Linked DNA regions of Schizosaccharomyces pombe. Changing the gene in region 2 together with the main gene of any one other region gives a genetic interaction. Each region holds a gene or a part of one and is shown on either strand. Other genes may lie near its edges. The genes, in order: nts1, nse5 and dcd1.

Region 1 (8,649 bases), on a different chromosome or scaffold from region 2:
TGTGTCTTGTTGCGTAAACCATTGACAGGCGAACTTCCATTAAAATGGAAGTTTTGTGCCATCAAGGTTATAAAACATTCCATTATCCTCTGTTTTTAAATTATCCACAATTTTAAGCATAGATGAAGCACTTTGCTCTGGTGAGATGGCATTGCTCTTGATGGATTCTACCATCTCAGGATATTTGCTGGCTAATTTTTGCATAGCATTAACAAACATGTCAGTGTTAACTACTCCAGGGTGAATAGAAACTACAACGAATCCATCTTTCTCTAACTCAAAACTAATTTCTTTCATCGTATAATTTAAGGCTGCTTTAGATTGCCCGTAAGCCGAGTATGTGTTTGGACGAACTCCTCCCATGCACGCAGCCATTGATGAAGTAAAAACAATATTCTTTAGCTTTCCCTCCTTTAACAAGTGATAAAAAGCTTGGTAAACATGAATAGGACCTAACACATTGGTTTGATAATGAGACATCCAAAGCTCGTCTGATGTTTTCAAAACAGGTTGGAAGGATTTCGATATCCCCGAATTCACCCAAAGAACATCAATACATTTTACTACCTTTTCAACCTGCATGGCAGCGTCTTTGGCACTTCGTAGAGAAGTGACATCTAACTTGATGATATGTACATTGGAATGGGTCTTGCTCCAATCTTTCAGTTCAGAGGCAGATCCAGGTCCACGAGCACTTGCAAAAACAGTTACTCCTTCCTTATTGCTTAACTCTTTGACTAGAGAAAGTCCAATGCCACGGTTTCCACCCACAATAACGTAAACTATCCCACCAGCAGCCGACATGTTTTAGCATAAAATGACTCAAAAAGATTCAAGGTGATGATTTTTTTCAACAATAATTCTTTATATCAAGGTCAGTCGTCTTGCCTAGCCTACTTGGTTGGAGGTGTAAAACAGTTGCGCTCACGCATAATGTATCAAGTCAGAAAGATCTGCAAATGCATCGTCGCACAGTTCTTAAACTATAGTCACTAAACAATAATACGTTATTATTTAATCAATCAATATGCTTTATGAATGACATTATGCTCTTTTGCCCAAATTAAGCCCTAAAGTCGTAGCTGGTATCTCTAGTCTGAGTTTGGGACAGCAGTTTTAAAGTAAAAGGCTGCTGAATTCTATCAGGTATCATTCCTCCATTTGCTACTAGATAAAGCTACTATAACTAAAGAATTGGCAATACATTTCGATAATAAACATACAAACAATGTAGCGGATTCACATTTTTATTGCTACAAATTTACCAACTGGTGCTAACTTGCGTTGTCTAACTATATATCGATAGTGAAGGTTTTTTTTCTATTTCATATAAGCAACTTAATGACAGGCTACGTTATATTTCAATTTGCAACTGACTTTATAAAGGAACCTGACAGAATGTACAGCTACTGTAACGTTTTGAAAGGTGCTTCGTAAAGTAAATATAGCGTTTTGCTTTATATATCGCTCCTTTCTTTCTACACTGTTAATCTACTTTAGTAGGTAGGAAAGGATATCAAGGGTGTAAGAAAATTTCATGGTTTTTCTGTTGTATGTTCATTTATTTTATATTTATGGAGTGTTTTGTACGCACTAGCTCTTTTAGTGTTTTATTTTTACTGCGAGAAATGTAATTTTCATTCTTCCTCTTTTATTTATATATGTGTTTTTTTTTGGTAGATTTTGTAAACATCATATAGCTTGTTAATGATCAGACTTTATTTTTTTAATATTTTCTTTTGTTAAGCAATTTCGTTTAAAAATAAACATATCCGACTTTGATGCTTCAAAAATTTAATGTAATAAAATAATATTCCTGTTTTTGAATCTGGGTTAAAATCATATCGGATACCTTATAAAATTCACTGATCATTTAAAAAAAAAAAAAAAAAAAAAAAAAACCCCCCGAAAACATACAATTTTGTTAATTTTCAAATGCATTCTTTTGAGGTCAAGCCATATTTACTTTTATCCCAAATATTAAATTTAAGTGTCATATGCAAAGTTGCAAATTCGCCGACCGTAGGGCTATCAAAACTGATGATGTTTAAAAATTGACTAATGGAACAAATTTATCTTGAGATGAAATGATGTTGTTCAAAATTAATATAATTTTTTTTTGCTGTTTCCTCTTGCTTTATACGCATTTTCCTGCACCTCTCTTTCAGAATACACATTATTCTTATTTGGTATTAAGATTCACCAATTGATAAAATAACACCTAATTGTATGCCACGGCTATCTTGCTATTATTGTAATTTCGCTTTATATTCGATTTTGACGAATGAACCCTGTCAAGTTGGAAAATGCAAAAGCAGTATTCTACCGTTACCTCTCAGTAGTAAAATGACCTTCCATCGATGAAATTCTCTAACATTCTCTTCGTATTTAAAAATGTATGGATCGTATATTCCTTGCTTATCCACGATTCATGAACAATTAAGATTTGCTGAATGGGTAACACATATTCTGCGTTACCTCGTATAGTTCATTGTTAATCAATGTTTAAACACTAAATTTCCCATCTCCCACTGTTAATTGAAAATAGGTTTTATTCAATAAATTACCATTTAAAAAGACATGTTATTTTAAGTTATATATTTTATGAACCTAAAGATTGAAGTAAAGGCCTTCGGAGCCTTTAGTTCCCCTACTATGTGCCTCTACTCGCTTCTTGGGGCTTAACTGTAATGTAGTATTGCCAATTACACAAAAAATTTATATTGTTCTTTAGCTTCTTATAATTCATTTAAATGAGAGGTAAAAAATTCGAGAAGACATTTCAGAAAACTACAGAAGTATCCATTTGTTTGAAATTAACTGTCCTAATGCAGATGAATCCTATGTAATAGAAATATTACAACCGTGGCTATAAAAGAAGTTGAGAGTTAGTTATACGTAAGAATATCTTTTAAAGATTTCAATCGACATCTCACATGATTCATCAGTATTAAACGTAAAAGTTTACATATTAGTTGTAGCACTATTCGTGATAAATGAAATAGTAAACCAAAAAACGAACGAGGAATAATCTTTTCATCACTAGAATATTAAAATTATTTTATATAATCAAAGTTAGAAAGATTCCTTTAGTTCCTTGAAATATTCTTTAATTATTATTGCAGCACTAAGGATTGCATCACTGATATGTCTCAGTAATGATTATCAGAACGTCTGGTAATAAAGCACGATCCTCTCTCTTTTTTTGTTCTGACTCTCGTCAGGATGAATTCCTTCTCAAAGTGCCGGGAGGAATTGCTTTGTATTTTTTGTACCGTACTTACATTTTATCGTATACTTTCACCTTAGCGCTTTTGGTGTCAAAACAATAGAGATGTAAATTTTAATAGAAATTAAAGCTTATTGGAATTTTTGTTTTCAAGTGTTTTAACATGTAGTGATTGTGTAAAGTATATGTTTACGTTCTAGTAATCGACTACCGTTGAAACTTGCAAACTACCAAACAGTATTGCAGACAGTGAATCAGTCGACGGAGCACTTGAATCAATTTGTTAATAATATAGAGATTAAATTCACAATTTATTGACACATGATTAACTGAATTCATTAAAATATTTGTTTTTTTGGTATATATTTCCTTTCAATACCCTCGCTATTTGTTTCTTAATAACTGAAGACAACATTGATCTACTTAATATATATGACTCAAAACTCACAGAGTAATGGTGAAATCGTGTCAAAAAAAACCGGATATTGATGAGTTCTTTTCATTTTTGCAGAGTGCATTCCATCCTCTACAGACCGAGGAACTTGATACATTCGTTCGCAACATTTTTGAATATGACGATCGAGGTCGTTTGTACAACTGCCTTTTAACTCTAGGTAAGAATGAATATTAGATATAATCAAGTTTATTTTTATCGCTTTTTCTAAAATTGTGAATTTTCAATTGATCGTCGTATGCTTGATAGCAATTTTGATGATCTTTTATCAAACATTTTGCACGCCTATAACTCTAAGGTTATATCAATTCAATTTTCTCAAAGAAACATATAAAATTTTACTCTATTCATGACTTGGCATGAGTGGTTGGATGAGACTGTGGCGTTGGTCGTTAATTATATTTTTTGTTGTTTCTGTTCGAAATTGAATGGTTGATTTCAACATTTAGCCCTTGGGTTTTTATTTCCCTAGGAAAAATGTTTGGGAGATTTAACCGTACAGTTTTCTGTAAAGCAAATGATTGTATAAAAAAATTATGATGACTGAAAATTCAAATCTACTACAATGTCACTTGAAAAATCGATTTCTTTTTTGATGTTTTATTTCTTTTTTATTAAAATTTCTAACCGTTAATGCAGTTCCTTATGAAAGACTTCCAATAGATGCAGAGGATCTTAGTAGTCGAAAAACCTATGCGCGTCCCGTACTAATCCGACAATACCGCAGTTTGCGGTTTGCCAACAAAGAAGAAAACATTTGTCGGCTAACTCCCAACTCAGCGTTCGTCCCTGTTCGAGACTCTGCAGTCGCTAGCATTTCAACCTCAAAAGTGCAGGACTTTAACTCCTATGCTACTCTCACTGAAGCACAGAAAAAAACGGCCACTCCCGTTGAGGAAAAAAACTTCTTAAATCAAATTGTCATACAATGTTTAGACTCTTTGGAAACCGACGTTGAAACAAATACCACGCATGCTACTTTACTAGCCGTTGACCCTACTTGGTTAATCCGTGTATCACAGCATACCTGTGATCGGAAAGCTGTGGCTAATCTCTGTATTCAGTATGGAAGTCAAATATTTTATGATCCATCATTTCGAAATGCTTATGAATTATGGTCCAATCCTTCAGTTCTTTTGGCTTTTTTGAAGGCCCAAAGAGTGTTGGTCGTTTCAGATATATTTACTTCGTCAACATTGAGATCAACACAAGGGACGCCAATGTCTTTTCCTAATTTAGCTTTGGAAAGCGCTGATAATGTCGAGAACGTATCAAAGCCTATTAACCCTCGAATGGAAAGGTTTTCATCAGAGGTTAAATCTTCGAGTATTCTGAAACAACAGATTGCAGCCGTTGTTGAGAAAATCAATTATGACATACGCCCTCAACGTGATCAAATCCCTGAAGAAAATATCGTACCTAGAATCTCTTACTTAACAAGTACCACTACTTCGACCAAATCATCACCGGTTCCCGAAAGCACTACAACAAACACAACTGAAGTGCTGAAAGAACTTAATGACATTCAAGAGAACAAAAGCAGAAAAAATGTTGAAAAAGCGACTGCGGCAACAGAAGAAATGCTACGTGGCCATCACAAACCGGTAGAAGGAACAACGGCTACTTCGGAAAAAGAAAGCATTAAAGAAGAAGTTGATTTAGAAGTTAACGGTGACGGGAAAGTTGAAGCGGAAGAGAGAATAGAATTGGAATCTTCCGATTCAGAGAAAGAGCTTTCAGAGCTGATTGATTTTCTTAAAAGAGAACACCCACCGGAAGATACTCCAGAAAAACGAGTAAAGATTAAAAGAATTAGAACATTACTCGACACATGGCAGCAGGAGTGGAGAATTTTAAATAAAGCCATTTCAAATGCAGAGTCAAATTCTGGGCGAGGACAGAACTCCAAAACGAAAACTACTTCTGTAAACTTATCGCGAAACAAACGAACGAGGACTTAAGAATGTTTAAAAGCATTTTTTTTGTGGAACATAATTATTAATCTTAGAATTACGAGCTTTTTATTTGGAACACTACTGAGTCTAATTATTTAAAGAAAATTATCAAACAACAATATTTGTATATAACGTTTACTCATTTCCCAACAAAATTAATTTATAAATAATAATCAAAAATGAACCGAATTCCCTGTATACTTAACCATAATAGTAATAAAATTCCAAAACCAATGCTACAATTCGATAAATGCAGTATGATCAAGTGTAGCCATTTACCTCCTTTTGAAAAGGAACAAAACAGTTACACAAAAAGAAATACCAAACGACTCAATGCTTTCCCTCCTTTAACTCCTTGGCACCAGCTTCACCTAATGCCTTAGTAATTGTCAACTTGCCCACTTGTTGAGACGCAATTCCGGCAATTAGTTTCTCATTGCGAACATTTAATGTTTTTGTAATGTTCTTTAAAGATATTAGCAAAAAGAACATATATAAAAGTAAATTTTAAAACATACCGCATTAATTGTATGGTCTTTGATAGCAGCTGCTCTTCTAGGGGCACAATAACGAGCTAAAAGTCAAGGTTAGTAATGAGTATTAATGATGAATGATAAACCATATAATATGATATCTTGTATGCTTAAGAGTAAAATGATTGAAACGTGTATCAAAAAATTTAATGAAAAATTTTACTATAATGAGTATCTAAAGTTACGAAAAGATGAAGAGTTTATAGCACCACAAAGGTTGTCCAACAACTTCAATGAGCTTAAAATATTAAAAGAAACATCCCTAAACCAAATTCCCTAGCATACAAAGATCACCGAATATTTGACAGTTGCAGCTGACATACCGCCTTTTTTAGGATTCTTGGAGTGTTTTGTAACACGTCCGCCCTTGTTGGCACTACTATTTTTCTTCTTTTTAAATTCTCCTTGTGCCATTGAGTTACGATAAATGGTAATGGTTATAGTTTGGTGTAGTAAATGAATTTTCATAGATACTTTGAAGGTAACATTAGAAGGAGGTAACAAACATCGCCATGAATACAGCAATAAGTAATACATACAAGTGGCATTACAGACTAAATAATTCGTTTTATAAGCAAATGTATAATGAGGGAATTGTTATACTGTTAATGTTACCGTCTATAAAAAAAGTGTACCTTTAGAAAGATCGGAATGCCATAAAATGTGAAAGTTAAAGTGCAGTGTTTCCCACAGTGCAGAATGATTTAAGAAATTAAGACTTTAAAATTCATTAAAAAACACGTACGTTTGCTAAATGATTGCTTCAAACATAACGAATCTTTTTTTTTAAAGAACAGGCGAGATCATAAAAGAAAACATTAACCTGCACAAGTAAAAGACAGATTAAAGATTCAGATTGAAAGGGAAAACGCCAGCAACCGACAGGAAATAAAATTTTTTAAAAAAAATTTAGTCGTCGGTGATGGCCAGCTTCAAATAGAGACCAATTATAATACTTTTTGCTGCTCAAGCAGAATCTTGAAATTACGACCGTCGTCCAGTCGCACGGAAAACTTATTGCGAACAATAAGTAACGTTATGCGGATAAACTATACAACACGCTTTACTTCGAAAAGTCGCTTTAAGTAGAAAATTTGGAATACACATACGGAAACTAGAATAACGGTTTGAAGAATACTCCACCACTTGACGCGGTCATTTGTGCTTTCAGCAGTATTGCGATGTATTCTTTCACGAGCCACAAAATACTCCTGCTCATGTTTTACCTTGGAGATGGTATCATGGAGTTGGCGGACCTTGCCGAGTAAAGGATTGTTAGCATCCAAATCTTCATCAGAGATATATATAACACCATGCACATTGAATAAAACCTCCTTTGATTCACCATCGAGTGCATCCTATTGATGTTGTTAGTTAAGATTGTACATCTAGCTGTTTCCGGCTCAACCATCAAACAATTAGACGACATGGGAAATGACGACCATAATGCCAGGCTTTGATGCCAGAAAACAAAAAGATAACACATACATTATAGAAACAATACATGTATTTCCCTGGGTTCTTAACGGTGAAAGAATATTGGGCCATAGAGTTGGGAACCTCTTGATGCATAATTTGACCCGCAGGATTGTAGATACTCATAGAAACAAGCTGATCACCACCAACGTTTGTTTGATAAGTGACAGACATTTGATCATTATTCCTCAAATTTTCATAGAAACATTCTAAGTTTGCTTCATTAGCATTGTATACTCCATGAATCTCAACACAAATACACTGAAATTACATACCTCGTTGATGCGGTTTCAATGTAATGCCATGACCGAAAACAACAGATATAAAATAAGCACATAACACGGCTTTAAATACGTTAAAAAACGCCATTTTGCAAAGTAAAGCTCTTTGCTCTTTGAAGCAGCAAGAATGAGGTCTATGGTAGAGGAAACGTACAAAGCACTAGTTGGAGGGCAACCGTGCATAAACAAAGCACAACTGTGAAATTAGGCGACGCTACGTTAAATTTGCTTAAGAAAAAATACGATGTCTTTATAAAAAAAACGTAATACGGTATCTTTCCTTATTTCTGTGGAAATTATTAAATCATTCTTGTCTTCAGAGTATAACTAGTAATTCTCCAAAACTTCGTTTATTTTGTATTTAACTTATTATTGAACATCAATTCATTTTATTTTTTTTTCTCTCCTATTAATTAGGTTTTGCATGAACTTGCCATTTGTTCGAAAACCTTTACTGTTGTATTCATAATATTTTTGCCAACATTTTAAAGCCACACTTTGCTTGTCCTCTCTTTCTTTGAATTTTTAAAAAAAAATAATTGTTTTACCATGTTTCAAGTCATCCAAAAAGAACTTGATTTTGGGAATGCAATGATACCAAAAGTATGGATACAAGTCATAAAGCTGAATCCATCCTCTTCTATCTTTGTATGGGGAAGCAATGTTTCAACATGTCCTGCAGGTGATTTAGCCCTTTCCATGCCAGGTAAATCGGATGTCG
Region 2 (7,714 bases):
AGAATTGTGGTTTAAGCCAAGAGTTGAGGAGGCTATATATTTAGTACATTGAAGCATGTTATGTACATAATTGTCTACAAATATCAGCCCCTTTGCATTTCCATTCTAGTGAACTTTGGAGAAGGTATGAACGCATTCGCATATTCCACAGAAAATTCAATTGTAAATTTACAACATAATCAAGAGATACAAATTCAGTAATTCTTATTTTTTTAAAGTCACATCTGTAACTTTTATGACAATTTTCGTTAAGTCCACCACTGCTTAGGTTACGAATTGATGAAAGATAAAATGTAATAATTATTAACAATGAAATCTATAATAAACAAAAGCCAAATACATTTAATCAAAAATCGGCATTATCGGTATGAGAAAATAAAATATGATGGGGTAATAAATAGAGTTTTAAAGCATCATTGATAATAATTGTCAGCAAAAGACTGAATTGCTGTTGTTTTATAAATTCCTTAGCAAATGAAGAATTATTAGTAAAATGGCAAAAATTGTTTAATCAGTAATAATTGCTCTTAATTTTTATTTTTTTTTTTAAAAAAAAATTAGCAATGAGCTCGAGAATTAAACATAGTTTTACTGTCAACTGAGTTTGATATCCTCCATAATTTAGACATTTCAAAAAACAACCCTAGTCCAAGGGAGTAATTTATTTAATAGTACCGGTTTCATATTTAAAAGTTTCATAAAATTTAAAACTAGAAAAATGACAAAAAAATGTGAGAATGGTTTCTCAACTACAATTTTAAACCAAAAATTAAGGTGTGAAAAAACCAAAAACAAAAGGAAGATAAAGATCTAATAAGAAAAAAAGCAAAAAAATAATTATAAAAACGAAACTTCATTCAAAATCATTGTCAACATCAAGAGGAAGGCAATACGGCTGCATTAGAATCTTTCCTCTGAATTAATATTCCACTACTCTAAACCAAAGTAACGGAAACAGTAAATTTTATGTAGGAGGGATTTTCAAAAGCTAAACAAACAAGAAAAAAGCTGACAGGTTTATATAATCCTGGATGATTTTTGCAAACTAGGATAATAATAAATAAAACGCGAGAATACTGAGAATTAAATGTTGATATCAATGCCAAAATCCACAGTAGCAATAATATCATCAATTCCGTGAACAGCTTTTTCGTGAAGTTTGAAATCTTTGTCCTCCAACGTGTTCGGGGTTTGAGTCACTGCAATGCCTTCGTCAAAAATTTGGGATTCAGAAGGTAATAGCTTAGGACTCAGGTCAGGAGATGATGCCTTTTCAGAGGCAACGACGACTGATTCACTGGGGTTCAGCTTTGGGGTAGACATAATGGAGGTAGAAAGGGAAGGTGAAGGTTGAGGACTTGTTCCCGTCAGTACGGAAGTAGGTGCAGACATTGGTGTGGCAGTAGCCGCTGCTGAGAGGCGTCTTCGTTCTTCATTCATACGCTGCTCTGCCAGGCGAATTTCGGTATGGTTGCGGCGTCGATTACGTTCATTCACTTTGGCAAGTTGATCCATGGCAGAATTACTATTTTGGTTAGATCCCATGGAAAGTTCTTCCAAAGTGTTTAATTGATCGTCAATCTCCTTGACCAATTCTGCATTACCAGCAACATAAGCAGCTTGTCTCCTTTGACGAAGACGGGTCTTTTCAGCAGCGATGTTCGAAGGAACACGCGATAACTCTTTCTTCCTGTTAATAATATCAGAAACCTCCTTTTCGCTTAAAACGTATTTACTCATATCCCTGAGGTCATTCAGCTTTCGTTGTACAAAATTTTTAGAGGGCATGGAAAGCTTATCTTCCATCATTTGGTGATGCCATCGTTGGAAATCATGGTCGGAAAAAGGCTCATTTGATAAGACGTTGACATCGAACACTCTTTTCGAGCGACCATGAAAACATTCCAGTGAAACTTTAGTTAAAACACCATCAACACGATACGGCTTTCTGCTTTCTAAAATACCCTTGACTTGACATAAGCGATATACACCTTGTCCATCACGCTCACCAATTTTAACCCGAACAAAGCATCCAGTGACGGTGGACTCAAAGATAGGATGATACATGTACTCCGCGACATGTTTACGCCCAAGACGAATTGCATTTAAATCGTACAAATTGGCGGATGCATTATCTTTTGAAACTTGTTCAACTTTTTCCTCAGCATAGCTGGGAGAGTAACCTTCCTCTTCTTCGCTCTTCTCCGACTCATTCTGTTCTTCATAATCGGAAACAGGGCTCCTTTTTCTAGTTCTTTCAGAGACGCTTCTAGCTGAACGTTCCTGGCGGCGCTTTTTCAGCTCAGTAAGCTTATCACGTTTGCCAGCGGCTGCTGAAGTTAAAGGCTTGTCACGAGTAGACCTTCTAGTAGATTGCGCCATATACTGAGCATTTTGCTGATGGAGGCGAATTGCCAATTCACGCCTTTCCATCAACTTTGAAATTTCTTCTTCACGTTCGAAGAGAATACTCTCTCTCTCAATTTCCGTCATTGCCATTATCCTTTATTTGGTTAGACAACTTTATGAAAAATGTAAAAATCAACGTACTTTGCTCTGTCTGCTTCATCTTTAAACTTGCCCTCTAGACGATACGGGTTTTTGAATTTTTCTTCAAATTCGTCTTCCGACTTCTCATTTCCTTCTCCTCCAGACTCTTCCGCATAATCCTGTCCAACATTTTCATTATTGTCTTCGTCTGAACTGCTGCTCAACACATCATCTCTAAAATATGTTTTGTTAGCAAGGTCAATCCGATAAATTTGCTTTCTTACAAATCATCATGAGCCCTTTTACGGTTTGAAGCAACATCTGAGTCATCAATACCAGCTAATGCCAACAATTCATCCTGAAAGTCGGCCATCTTGGTGGAGGACAGGATCAGATTAGCTAGATACCTGACTAATAACGGTTCCAAGGACTCTCCACCAATTTCATAACAGCAGCGAAACTTTTATCTACTAGCTTTCAAAGGTACTATCTGCTAGTACATTAAAAGAATAATGTTTTTATAATTTGAAAAGTGATTTTTTTTTTAATTTTTTTTTTACGAAATAATTTTTGCAGATGTTGTCTTCCTTGGTTACAAACCTTATCGTTGAAAGCTTCCTTTTAAAATACTGCTCATTTGGGGTCCTCCTCTTTCCCTCTTTTTGAATATATTTCTTCTGTCGCGTAAAAACTTCAAACTGAGAATTCTGCATTTTGTTACAATATAAAATTCGTGAATCAAACCATTCAATAATAATCACAAGACTGTAAATAGGGCACATGTTAAATGCTCTTTTACAAAGAAAATCGTTTTAAGAAATAAGATATCTCTTCCATATCTGGCTTCTTTTACATATAAAGTAGCAAAGATTGCTTACGCCATTTCAAAATGAACTCGGCTCTAAAGGCAATAATAGAGCTTTGTATTGAAGAAGACTTGTTGCCAAAATCATTAGATGTTTTAGAATATCTTCTATCGACGACCTCTATACCAATTCCAGCTTGTTATATACGAATGTGCATAACTCTTCTAGTCCACCCAGAATATCCTACCTCTTCTAATATTCAAGAAAGCTGTAATTGGATATTACAGCAGGTGGTTGAGAACAGAAGCAAAATCAACTTTGACGCATGGTCATTTGAAAATGATCTATCGGACAACGATATGCCTAAAGAAAATTATCTGAAGATTTTCTCCAACCAATGCTTATTTACCCAAGATGTTGATTATTGGGATCTAATTGCATACATGTCTTCTCGTCCTCCTGACCTTGAACGTTGGATGTCCTTGATGGACATATGGTTAAGGATATTAGAGATCGATGCTGAGGAAAACGGATCTGCGTTGATGAAAAAATACATGGGAGAAGATTTGTGTGAACTTCAAGATGCCATCAGAATTTGCTTCTCCTGTTTCACTCTTCCCCAGCAAACAATGGAATCACCTTTTGCAACAAGTATGTCCAAAGCACCTGCTAAAACAGAAAGTCGAGGTTCAAATAGTTTTGAAGGAACATCAAGACTAGCAAACCTAGGTGCCAAACTCTTATGCCTTATATGGGCTATGCTTCCGAAGGGAAGATTTTTTGTTGTACATCTGACAGACGCTTTTCATTTTCTTAGCAAACTCGACGAACGTTTTTCAAAACTGAATGCGAAACAACAAGATCTTTTCTTTGGAAACTTAGGCGCCTCCAATCTCCGGTATTGCCTGAGCCAATATATACTTATGAAAGGAATAGGTATTGGAATTAACATACGCCATACACGTTGTGAGTTTACTAAACAGCTAACTCAACTTTTACCCACTTCCCTTCCGAAAAACAAAATCAGACAGAAGCTACATCTACGAGCATGGGTCTCATTTTTGGGTTCGGCCCTTCGTGAAAGTGATCGCAACTTTGATAAAGAGCTATTTTACACAACGTTGAAGCAGTTATACACAATGTATCAACAAACAGAATTAGTTGGTATTGATAGACCAATGGCAATACTCAAAGACATGCTTGTATTATTAGATATTTCAAAAAAATTGTCCTTGGATAAAATCGTTTAACTTAATAATTTAACTACAAATTAACAGAAGTCATTTGGCATTAATTGTGTATCCTAATATATATAGACTATATGTATCGTTTCAATGAATGAGGCTTTGTGTGGAAAATAATTATTATAATCATTAGTGATAACTAAGAAAATGAAATTTATATGAATAATATATAATAAACAAACGGGTAGATAGAAAGTAAATTAATTATTACCGAAAACGAAATGAAACATTTTGTGCAATAATTGTATGCTTGACCCCTTTATAAGATTTTTTATCTGGATGATTAAGCATCTTCAATGACTCTACTTTAAAATTATGAAGGGTTGATCCTTGAAGTTTATATTGTAAATCAAGGTGCTCAAGCTTAGAGTAGCTACTTGACTCTTCGGTTGAATTGGCATCTTTCTTTAAGGGGGCCAGGAATCCTGTCAACACTAAGGCCGGGGATGTCCAAGCTAATTTTTTTACCGACCACTCCAGAATACCTTCTTCCATATGAGTATACTTGGAAGCACGAAAAATATAATTTCCCTCGGTAACCGTAACGCTCTTTAGAGCTTGAGGAATAGTTATTAGGATTTTTAAATTTTCAACGGATTTTTTCCCGGTGTTTCGAATACGTACTTCGAACCTTCCATCCAACTTATTTTTTGCTTCAACAACAACAGGCAAAGATTTCTGGGTAGCAAAGTCTGTTTGAAAAGAAGCTAATGTAAATTTTCCGTCCGGTGGAATGAATTCAATCTGATCCGGATGTTGTTTCCATCTTTTTAAATTGACTGACTGGTGGAACCGAACATTCCCTAGTTTTGTGCCGGGTCTCAAACTCAGCAAAAGTAAAGGCATACCAGATATTTGACATTTGCATTCCATATCACTTTTAACTGTGCCAAAAGCAAGTTTTCCGTTAGGCTGGTAAACGGCTGATACGCGTTCAAGTACATGAATAAAAAATTCATTGGTTGCATATTTTGCTTTAGCTGTTCTCCAAGGAACGGTATCTCTTGCAAGAGTCGGTGTATTTCTAAATCATGCGGTTAGCACTGCAAAAACAGAAAACTAAATAACATACGTTTGTAGACCAGTAACTGCCATAAACTTATTCATAAAGCTAGGGAGTGGTACAATGTCCTGCAATGCATTTGGTTCCATACAAGTTGCATATCCATAATCAATCATTTCAGCTAATAGCTGGACAATAACGCAAACATTTTTCTCGACCTTTGAAGCATTAAACCCACCAAAAAATGTTTTAACTACATCCACAATGCGTCTCATAATATCATGAATGTAGAGAGGCTCAGTGTCGCAAGTTGTAGGAATACACAAACGCACATCTTCCTCTAACTCTTGAAATATCAAAAAATTTTTGTTATGTAATATAAATGGAGGCTCCTCATTTCGAAGTTTGTAGCGAAAAAGTTCGTTTTTTATATGTTCTAACGTTATGGGAGATGTCCTTCCTCGAGACTCCAACTGGAGTAGTAACGCCCTAGTCAACTTGATTAATAAAGTAAATAAACAGCTAACGCATACCCATTAGTGTCTACAAGATATATTGCTTCTATTGTGCTCATTCAAAAGTTTTATGAAAGGAGCGGTTGGTTGGTGATGAATACGTATGAAGGTAAATGGATTAAGAAGGTCTTCTAGTGTACAGGAAAGGGTAACCATAGATGTCCTTTCTCAATCTTTTTAAAGCCTAATTTATAAACAATTTAAGTAATTAATAGTAATTAAGCCATGCTACTGTTGACATGCTAAACCGTTTAAATGGGTTGCTAAAAGGTACGCAGGAACCTCAGGTTGAAAAATTAATTAGATTAAACAGAAAACCACCTTTCATAAATGTCGTAGATTAAGATACTTGTAAAAAATATATATATATGACAAATAAATATATCACAATGAACTTTACGCTTTGTGTAAATATAGCAAAAAGCATTATATATGAATCAGCAAGGATGTATGTGTACTTGATGCCCATTTTTGGTAAATTTACACAAAGGTAAAGTAAGAGATAGAGAGCTACTATTGTCTACATCAGTATTAGAACGTTTTAGAAGTAAAACTGTGCATTTTTCCTCATTTTTTTCAGCTTCAACTAGATATATGTCAGAGAGAAATCGATCGAGAACTTTAATGGAAGAAAGTTGCACAAGCTCAGTTTCAGATGAACGATGAACACGATTGATATATCTCTTCTCGAGATCTTTTGTGCACTGGAAAAGTGATTTTTGTTTACTAGATGCAGGGGAAGACACGCTAGAACTCAAGAATGACGGTTTAGATGGTGGAGTACCCATGTGATGAATAGAATATTTAGCCAGATGTGTTGAAATAGGCGACTTCATCTTGGCGTTTTTTATTCTCTGAGATTCTGGAGACAGGTAGCGCAATGCTCTAGGGCTTGACTGACCGATATTGGTAATTTTAGTCGGAGATGTTGGAAGCTCTACGTTGTATGTAGAGCTAGCAAATGGTTTTTGAGAGGAGCTTTGAGGATGTCGAGCAGGCTTTCTTTCATCCTCTGATGAAGAAGAAAATTCATCAATGTCTTCATCCAAACCCCGACGCTTTCTGACTAGATTGGAAGACTTGCCATTGAACGATTGATCCTCAACATCTTCAATTGCTTCCATAGACAGCGCCATTCTATGAAGTTTCTCCTTTTTCGCGGAATTAAATCCAAAAGCTTTGCTACCTGCTGAAGCTGAGGTAGCTTCATTTTGAGATGCGCTTTTTCGAGGATTGTATTTGACTTTCTTGGAACTCATGTATAATAGCGTTGCGGCATGATAAATTGACAATAAATTGAATTTCAATAATCCTAATATATGGATACAAAGGAAATTTTGAGCTTAAACGTAAAAAGCTGGCACAACATTGATATAAGTGAATGACTTGTGGTGAGAGCAGACAACGATCATGCGAGTGTAATCAGCACTTTACTGTATGATCGGCTGTATTAAATACGAAGTAGTGGAAAAAAAATAATAATTTTTGGTTAACAAATACTTTAGTCATTTGGTTAAACAAAATAGATTTTTTCGTCCACAGACCCATTTTAGTTATGGAAAATATATATATATATTTTTTTTTTCGAAAAGAGCAGCAATAAGGAATACGAGGAGGACCTACAAAACAACACGGAGTAATTACGAGATTAAATTA
Region 3 (5,661 bases), 2.2 Mb from region 2:
GGAGCAAAAGATGGGCTAAGACTAACTGAACGCTCACAATGAGAAATCCTTTCCTGCAGGCTTTGTAAATTTTCTTCAATACTTTTTAAACGCTCAACAAGGATGGAAAATTCAGGGTTCGTAAGCGAAGACTCATCATAACGATTATTGTGCGCTTTATTGTTGCTATCTTTCGAAATCGCTTTTAAGTTTGCTTCAAGGGAATTGAAATGAGAATCAGATAAGCTAGTAACACCTTCTAGCGATCTAGGAGCCGAATGAGATTTCGCGTCAGATTTTGGAGGTACAAATCGAAATCGCGGAGGGGGAGCGCTTGCAGGTGTTAAGTATGCCATGTCAAAAGAGTGATCTTGATTTAAATCTACCAATGGCTTAATTCGATCCTCATCTGAGATACGAATTTTAGATGCACTTAAGTGAGTAAAATTTTGTGATTGTGTACCAGCATTAGGTATTGACTCTTCATCTTTTTTTTGATCATTTAAAATATTTTTTCTTCGCTTAGGTGATAGGGAAGGCTCCTTCGATGGCCGTCGCTTTCGCTTTGAGGGTGAGTGATTCTTAACCACTGACTCACTAATTTGACCTTGTTGGCTTCGCTCCCATTCCAAATAATCGTTTTTTGTATCATTCCATAATTTCTTTAATTTTCCCAGCAGTCCAGCTGCAGGATTGAAACTCATCTCATGCCCAAATTATTTGGTGATTTAAATTCTAAATTCTTTGCAAACTGACTTCAATAATTATAGGAGTTACAAGATCGTGATTAACAATAATTTGCAACCAAAGGGTTATTAAACCTCAGGAAACTTGACAAAATTACGATCTTACCGAGCTCTACAGTACGGTCGTGAGTATTACCTAGTACACGTTAATGGCTTAATGCTTATTATGTAGTCTGTAATTAGCTTTAATGATACGTTAAATCACCAACAATCATCACTTATGTTGCTGTGAGCTCGATTATTAATTAAGTTGGTACGTGAAGTTAACCTTCTAACTTACTACTGAAGCTGCTCATAACTCAACCTCTTCCTCAGTCCAGTTGAGTTCTGTAGTGTTTTAATTTCCCGAAAACAAAAAAATTTTCCAATATCATTAAATAGGATGTTGAGAAAAAGAATATGTGCCACATATAAATATCATTGTTGAATTGCTGACTTGACAATTAATGCTAGGCCTACGATGCAATAGTAATCTAACCGTAAACATAATTTTACGAACGATTAGTATGTAATTACTGGACTTTTAGAAGAATTCTGAATATTCGCACATAAAAAATATTATTCGACAGATTCCATCGTTTCACATGAGTTTACATGAAATGCGCTCATTATCAAATTTGATGTGATGAACATTAATTAGATAAAAATGGTTTCATTGTTAGTTGAATGCGTTTGTTCCGAGTTTCTCCTTAACAATATACAGTTAATGATCTTATTGTTGTTGCTGTTGAAGTACACAGCACTTAAGTACAACTTTTGAGTGCTCTAAACTTTAGCGTGACCAGCAAAAGAGAGGTCAATACACTTAAAACCAAAAACGACTTTATTCGAATTCACTAAAAGGATTTTTTAGATTCTTGGTCCAGTACAGTGAAACGTAAAATCTGAAATATTCAAGGATTCGTGAAGATTTGGAAGCAAATAGTTTTTAATCTCATTAAATATATATTTTATTTTTTAAAAAGATTACAGATTATAGAAGCATAGTTTTACGAAATTGAAAGTTAGCATTTTCGCAACTCGTTGTTGGTATTGATAGTTAGTATCATTAGGTATGTGAGTACGTTAAAACCGATCTATCTCTAACTATTTGGGGAGATAATCAAACTGAAATACGTTTCTTAAGCTTAAGTAGCTTTGTTTGATTTATTAAGCAAATAAATATGCCAACTGTTGGTCTTACAGGGCCATTATGTAGTGGAAAAGATGCCGTTGTTGAATACCTTGAGACAAAGCATGGTTTCAATGCTATTTTTCGATTACCACAACTAAACGAGGATGGAGAATATATATATAGAACTGGCGATTTAGTCCTTGGCAGCGTTGACGATCTTATTAGCTATCTCACTCCAAGATGGCGCGAAAGATTTGTAATTAATGGAATTCATAGTCCACGTTTGTTAAGTGCATTGCTCAAACGTCCGTTCTTTTTGCTTGTATATATTGATGCCCCAATTATGCTCAGGTTCAATCGCTACAAAACGTATGTAATATTGCAATGTCAACATGTTGTTGCTAACTTTAAATTCATTGTCATTATTCTTCACGCAATGTGTTCAGTGTAAGGACCTTAATATCTTGTTAGTTTCATTCATTTCATGCTCGAAATTACACGGTTACATAAGCTCCTCATGATTAACTGAATATTGCGTGAAATAATAATGATGACATATAGTTATTCTTCTCTTGCGAATACCACACTTGAAGAATTTTGTAGTATCCAAGACGCGGCTGCATTTCAATCTGATAATGCTGGAACTCGACACCGAGCATTGGCTAATTTACTTATAAATAATGATAGCAATATTAAACTTCATCTATGGGAGAAGCTTCAAAAAGCCGATCTTTTGAATCCCAATAGATTTCGCCCATCATGGGATTCGTACTTTATGGAAATGGCAAGTCTGGCTGCGAAGCGTAGCAATTGTATGAAACGTCGCGTCGGTTGCGTACTTGTGCGAGGAAATCGTGTTATTGCGACAGGCTACAATGGAACACCTAGAGGAGCCACTAACTGTAATGAAGGCGGATGTCCACGTTGCAATTCTGCTTCTTCCTGTGGAAAAGAACTTGATACCTGTCTTTGTCTTCATGCCGAAGAAAACGCTCTTTTAGAGGCTGGCCGTGAACGCGTTGGAAACAATGCAATATTATACTGTGATACGTATGTAAATATAGACATAAAGCTACTAACAGTCGAAAGATGTCCCTGTCTTACGTGTTCTGTCAAGATTACTCAGCTTGGGATTAAAGAAGGTATGTTTCAGTTCTTTAATCTTTTACTAATGCTCAGTTGTCTATCATACGTCTTACAACATGGACTCCCATACCGCTTCTCTCCTTCAAGCCGCAGGAGTTCAATTACGACAATATATTCCTCCGGAAAACAGCATTTTCTAAGTTAATAACAGAACTTACTTTTTAGATTACCGCTCTTTTTGATTGCAGAAAATACGATTTTAATATCTTTATTTAATACTTACAATATTGATGAGATAACAATCAAATAATACAATAATTATTATTGAGCTATAGGAATATTTAATCGTATTTAAGTAACTTTTTCAAAACTGATACCATTTCCTCACGTGGCACAAGCTGACCTTCATCGCTATTTTCTTTTAAACCCATTTGTTTAATACGAACAGATCCCTTTGCAAACTCATCTTGACCCAAAATTACAGCAAAAGGTACGTCGAATTTATCGGCGGCGTCAAATTGTTGACGTGGTTTGGGTTTCACTTTGTAAAGAAATTCTGCTTTAATGCCATTTGCCCAAAGGTCTTTACAAACAGACATACGCTCTTTCAAAAAGCCGGTCCATTCTTTTCCACCTCCAAATGCCATAACGAAAACATCAACATCATTTGCACGGATATCCTCATCAGGAATTTTTGATCTAAGAATTGAAAAAATCCTCTCTAAACCAAGGCTAATGCCAACACAAGGGATTTTGGCGTTTTTCTTTGCAGCAAACATTCCAACTAAATTGTCATAACGTCCACCAGCAGCAATCGAACCAACGCCAATAGAGTCATCATTGGAACGATCTGCTTCAGGATCAGCAGATTTTTTCTTTTCCGCCGAACTCTTAATCTTTGGAGCAGAAGCCTCTGTTACTGCTTCGTAAATGATACCAGTATAATAATCGAGACCACGCGCTAGAGACATATCAAATGAAAACCTATCTAACACTCCAAAAGCTTCCAAATAATCAAATAAAAGACGCATGTCGTTAAATGCAGCAACAGCCGAGCTATTGCTTGATAGTAAACTATCGGCTTCAAGCTTATCTAAAAGAGAGCGGTCGCCTTTTAATAACACATACTCCTTAATTTTATCTGCCACCTCCTCTTTAAGTCCTTTTTCAACCACCATTTCACGTCTGACATCTTCCCAAGGGAGTTTATCTAGCTTGTCCACAGCACTGGAAATGGTACGAATTTTGTCATCCGGTACACCACAAACAGTAAAAATGCCATCCAAAATTTTTCGATGATTAAGCTTGATAGTATAATTTCCAACTTCTAATGCATCTAATGCTTCCACTAAAACCTTTAAAGCTTCAGAATCGGGAATCATAGGATCGTAGTTGCCAGCGATATCAAAATCGCATTGATAAAATTCACGCATACGGCCTTTTGTCATAGCTGGCTGATCTCTTCGATAAACCTTTGCAATATGGAATCGCTTAATACTCGTAACTTTGGGATTCATAGCTAACCAACGAGCAAATGGAACAGTCAAGTCGTATCTCAAAGAACAAAGCTCTCCACCTTGATCTTTCAAATCGTAAATTAGCTTGCTGTCTTCTCCATATTTTCCGGAAAGAATTTCTTTCAATTCGAACACTGGCGTATCGAGTGTTACACCACCATGACGCTTGAATATCTCTGTGACAGTTGAAAAAATGTGCTCACGTAAAACAACATCTTTGTCACACCAATCTTTAGTACCCTTCGGAGTTTTCAGTGTAAAAGATGTGTCTTTTTTCTTTCCTGATACTTCCGAACCCCCAAGTTTGAGGTTTTTCAGTTGAAGTAATTTAGCAACTTCTTTATCAATGTCCTCTTTAGAGGCGCCTTGACTTTTCAAAGATCGAACAAGATTTCCTTGTGAAGTTATTCTTTCATTTATATCTACTAGAGAATCAGCCATAGTTCTCAAGAAACGCCAATTTAAGAGGCTAGACGAAAATTTGGTGGTGAATAGGTTTTTGGTAAAAACAAACATGCACTAACTGAAAATGCAAATCTCAGTATTACATCCATTTAAATACATTTTACGGTGATTGAAGGACTAATGAAACCATTTGTCATGTTGATTAAATAACCAAGAAAAAAATATAGAACCTTGGATAATGAAACATTGAAAATTTTTTGGATTTTATGTTATGCAAACCAAGTGGGATAATTTCATTTGAAAATAAAAACTAGTTATTATATATTTTTTATAAATTTAAAAACCTAATATTTGTGAAATGACAAGTTCTATAAGTAAAAATTTAATATCAAAAAACCTTTTAAAATATGGACTTTTTTAAAATAGTAAAAACACTCAAAAAAATCAAAAATAATGTATTTTAATATTTTAGGATTTAAATCATTACAAAACCCATTCCACTAGGCCTCGAATAATCAACACTTTTAGAAGCATCGATTCCTCCAGGAATTTTTGGACAGTTATAATTATAGATGTAATAGTTCAAAAAACCGTCTCCTTCTCCAAATTTTAGGTCCTTCAAGAATAGATTGTTATCCAAAACCGTAACAGCATTGAATACATCAAAGTGGAACTGTTTTGAATTATTAGCAAGTAATAAAACCATATAAACTTACCTTTTTAGCCAATATAAGAGCATCATTAACTATCAATTTACAACGTTCAACGAATGCCAACTGTGATTCAGAAGATAAGTCTTTTGGACAAGAATCAG

The links.
Region 1: of nse5 (region 2) and nts1, extra expression of one rescues a mutant of the other (dosage rescue), as found in Schizosaccharomyces pombe (one study listed by BioGRID).
Region 3: mutations in nse5 (region 2) and dcd1 impair growth when combined (synthetic growth defect), as found in Schizosaccharomyces pombe (one study listed by BioGRID).

What each region holds. Positions count from the first base shown.
Region 1 is NC_003421.2:929,958-938,606, reverse strand, and holds nts1 (protein Nts1), read left to right. Parts: upstream 1-3,451; 5' UTR 3,452-3,683; coding exon 3,684-3,843; exon of another isoform or gene 3,844-3,912; intron 3,913-4,322; coding exon 4,323-5,644; 3' UTR 5,645-5,870; downstream 5,871-8,649. Other genes in the region: SPOM_SPCC24B10.20 (dehydrogenase), read right to left, coding at 40-804; SPOM_SPCC24B10.18 (uncharacterized protein), read right to left, coding at 5,969-6,103, 6,157-6,212, 6,495-6,585; COPII-coated vesicle-associated protein Emp24, read right to left, coding at 7,221-7,529, 7,660-7,856, 7,923-8,016; proteasome assembly chaperone Pac4, read left to right, coding at 8,478-8,649.
Region 2 is NC_003423.3:1,254,524-1,262,237, forward strand, and holds nse5 (Smc5-6 complex non-SMC subunit Nse5), read left to right. Parts: upstream 1-3,379; coding exon 3,380-4,546; 3' UTR 4,547-4,669; downstream 4,670-7,714. Other genes in the region: prf1 (RNA polymerase II-associated Paf1 complex protein), read right to left, coding at 1,084-2,503, 2,551-2,724, 2,775-2,863; AP-3 adaptor complex subunit Apm3, read right to left, coding at 4,748-5,564, 5,613-6,032, 6,077-6,117; protein dbl7, read right to left, coding at 6,496-7,317. UniProt on the Schizosaccharomyces pombe protein: Acts in a DNA repair pathway for removal of UV-induced DNA damage that is distinct from classical nucleotide excision repair and in repair of ionizing radiation damage.
Region 3 is NC_003423.3:3,456,462-3,462,122, reverse strand, and holds dcd1 (deoxycytidylate deaminase), read left to right. Parts: upstream 1-1,803; 5' UTR 1,804-1,888; coding exon 1,889-2,208; exon of another isoform or gene 2,209-2,356; intron 2,357-2,400; coding exon 2,401-2,889; intron 2,890-2,928; coding exon 2,929-2,981; intron 2,982-3,018; coding exon 3,019-3,125; 3' UTR 3,126-3,266; coding exon of another isoform or gene 3,267-4,958; 3' UTR 4,959-5,161; downstream 5,162-5,661. Other genes in the region: protein Csi1, read right to left, coding at 1-683; histidine--tRNA (His) ligase Hrs1, read right to left, coding at 3,267-4,958; myr1 (N-myristoyltransferase 1), read right to left, coding at 5,323-5,520, 5,564-5,661.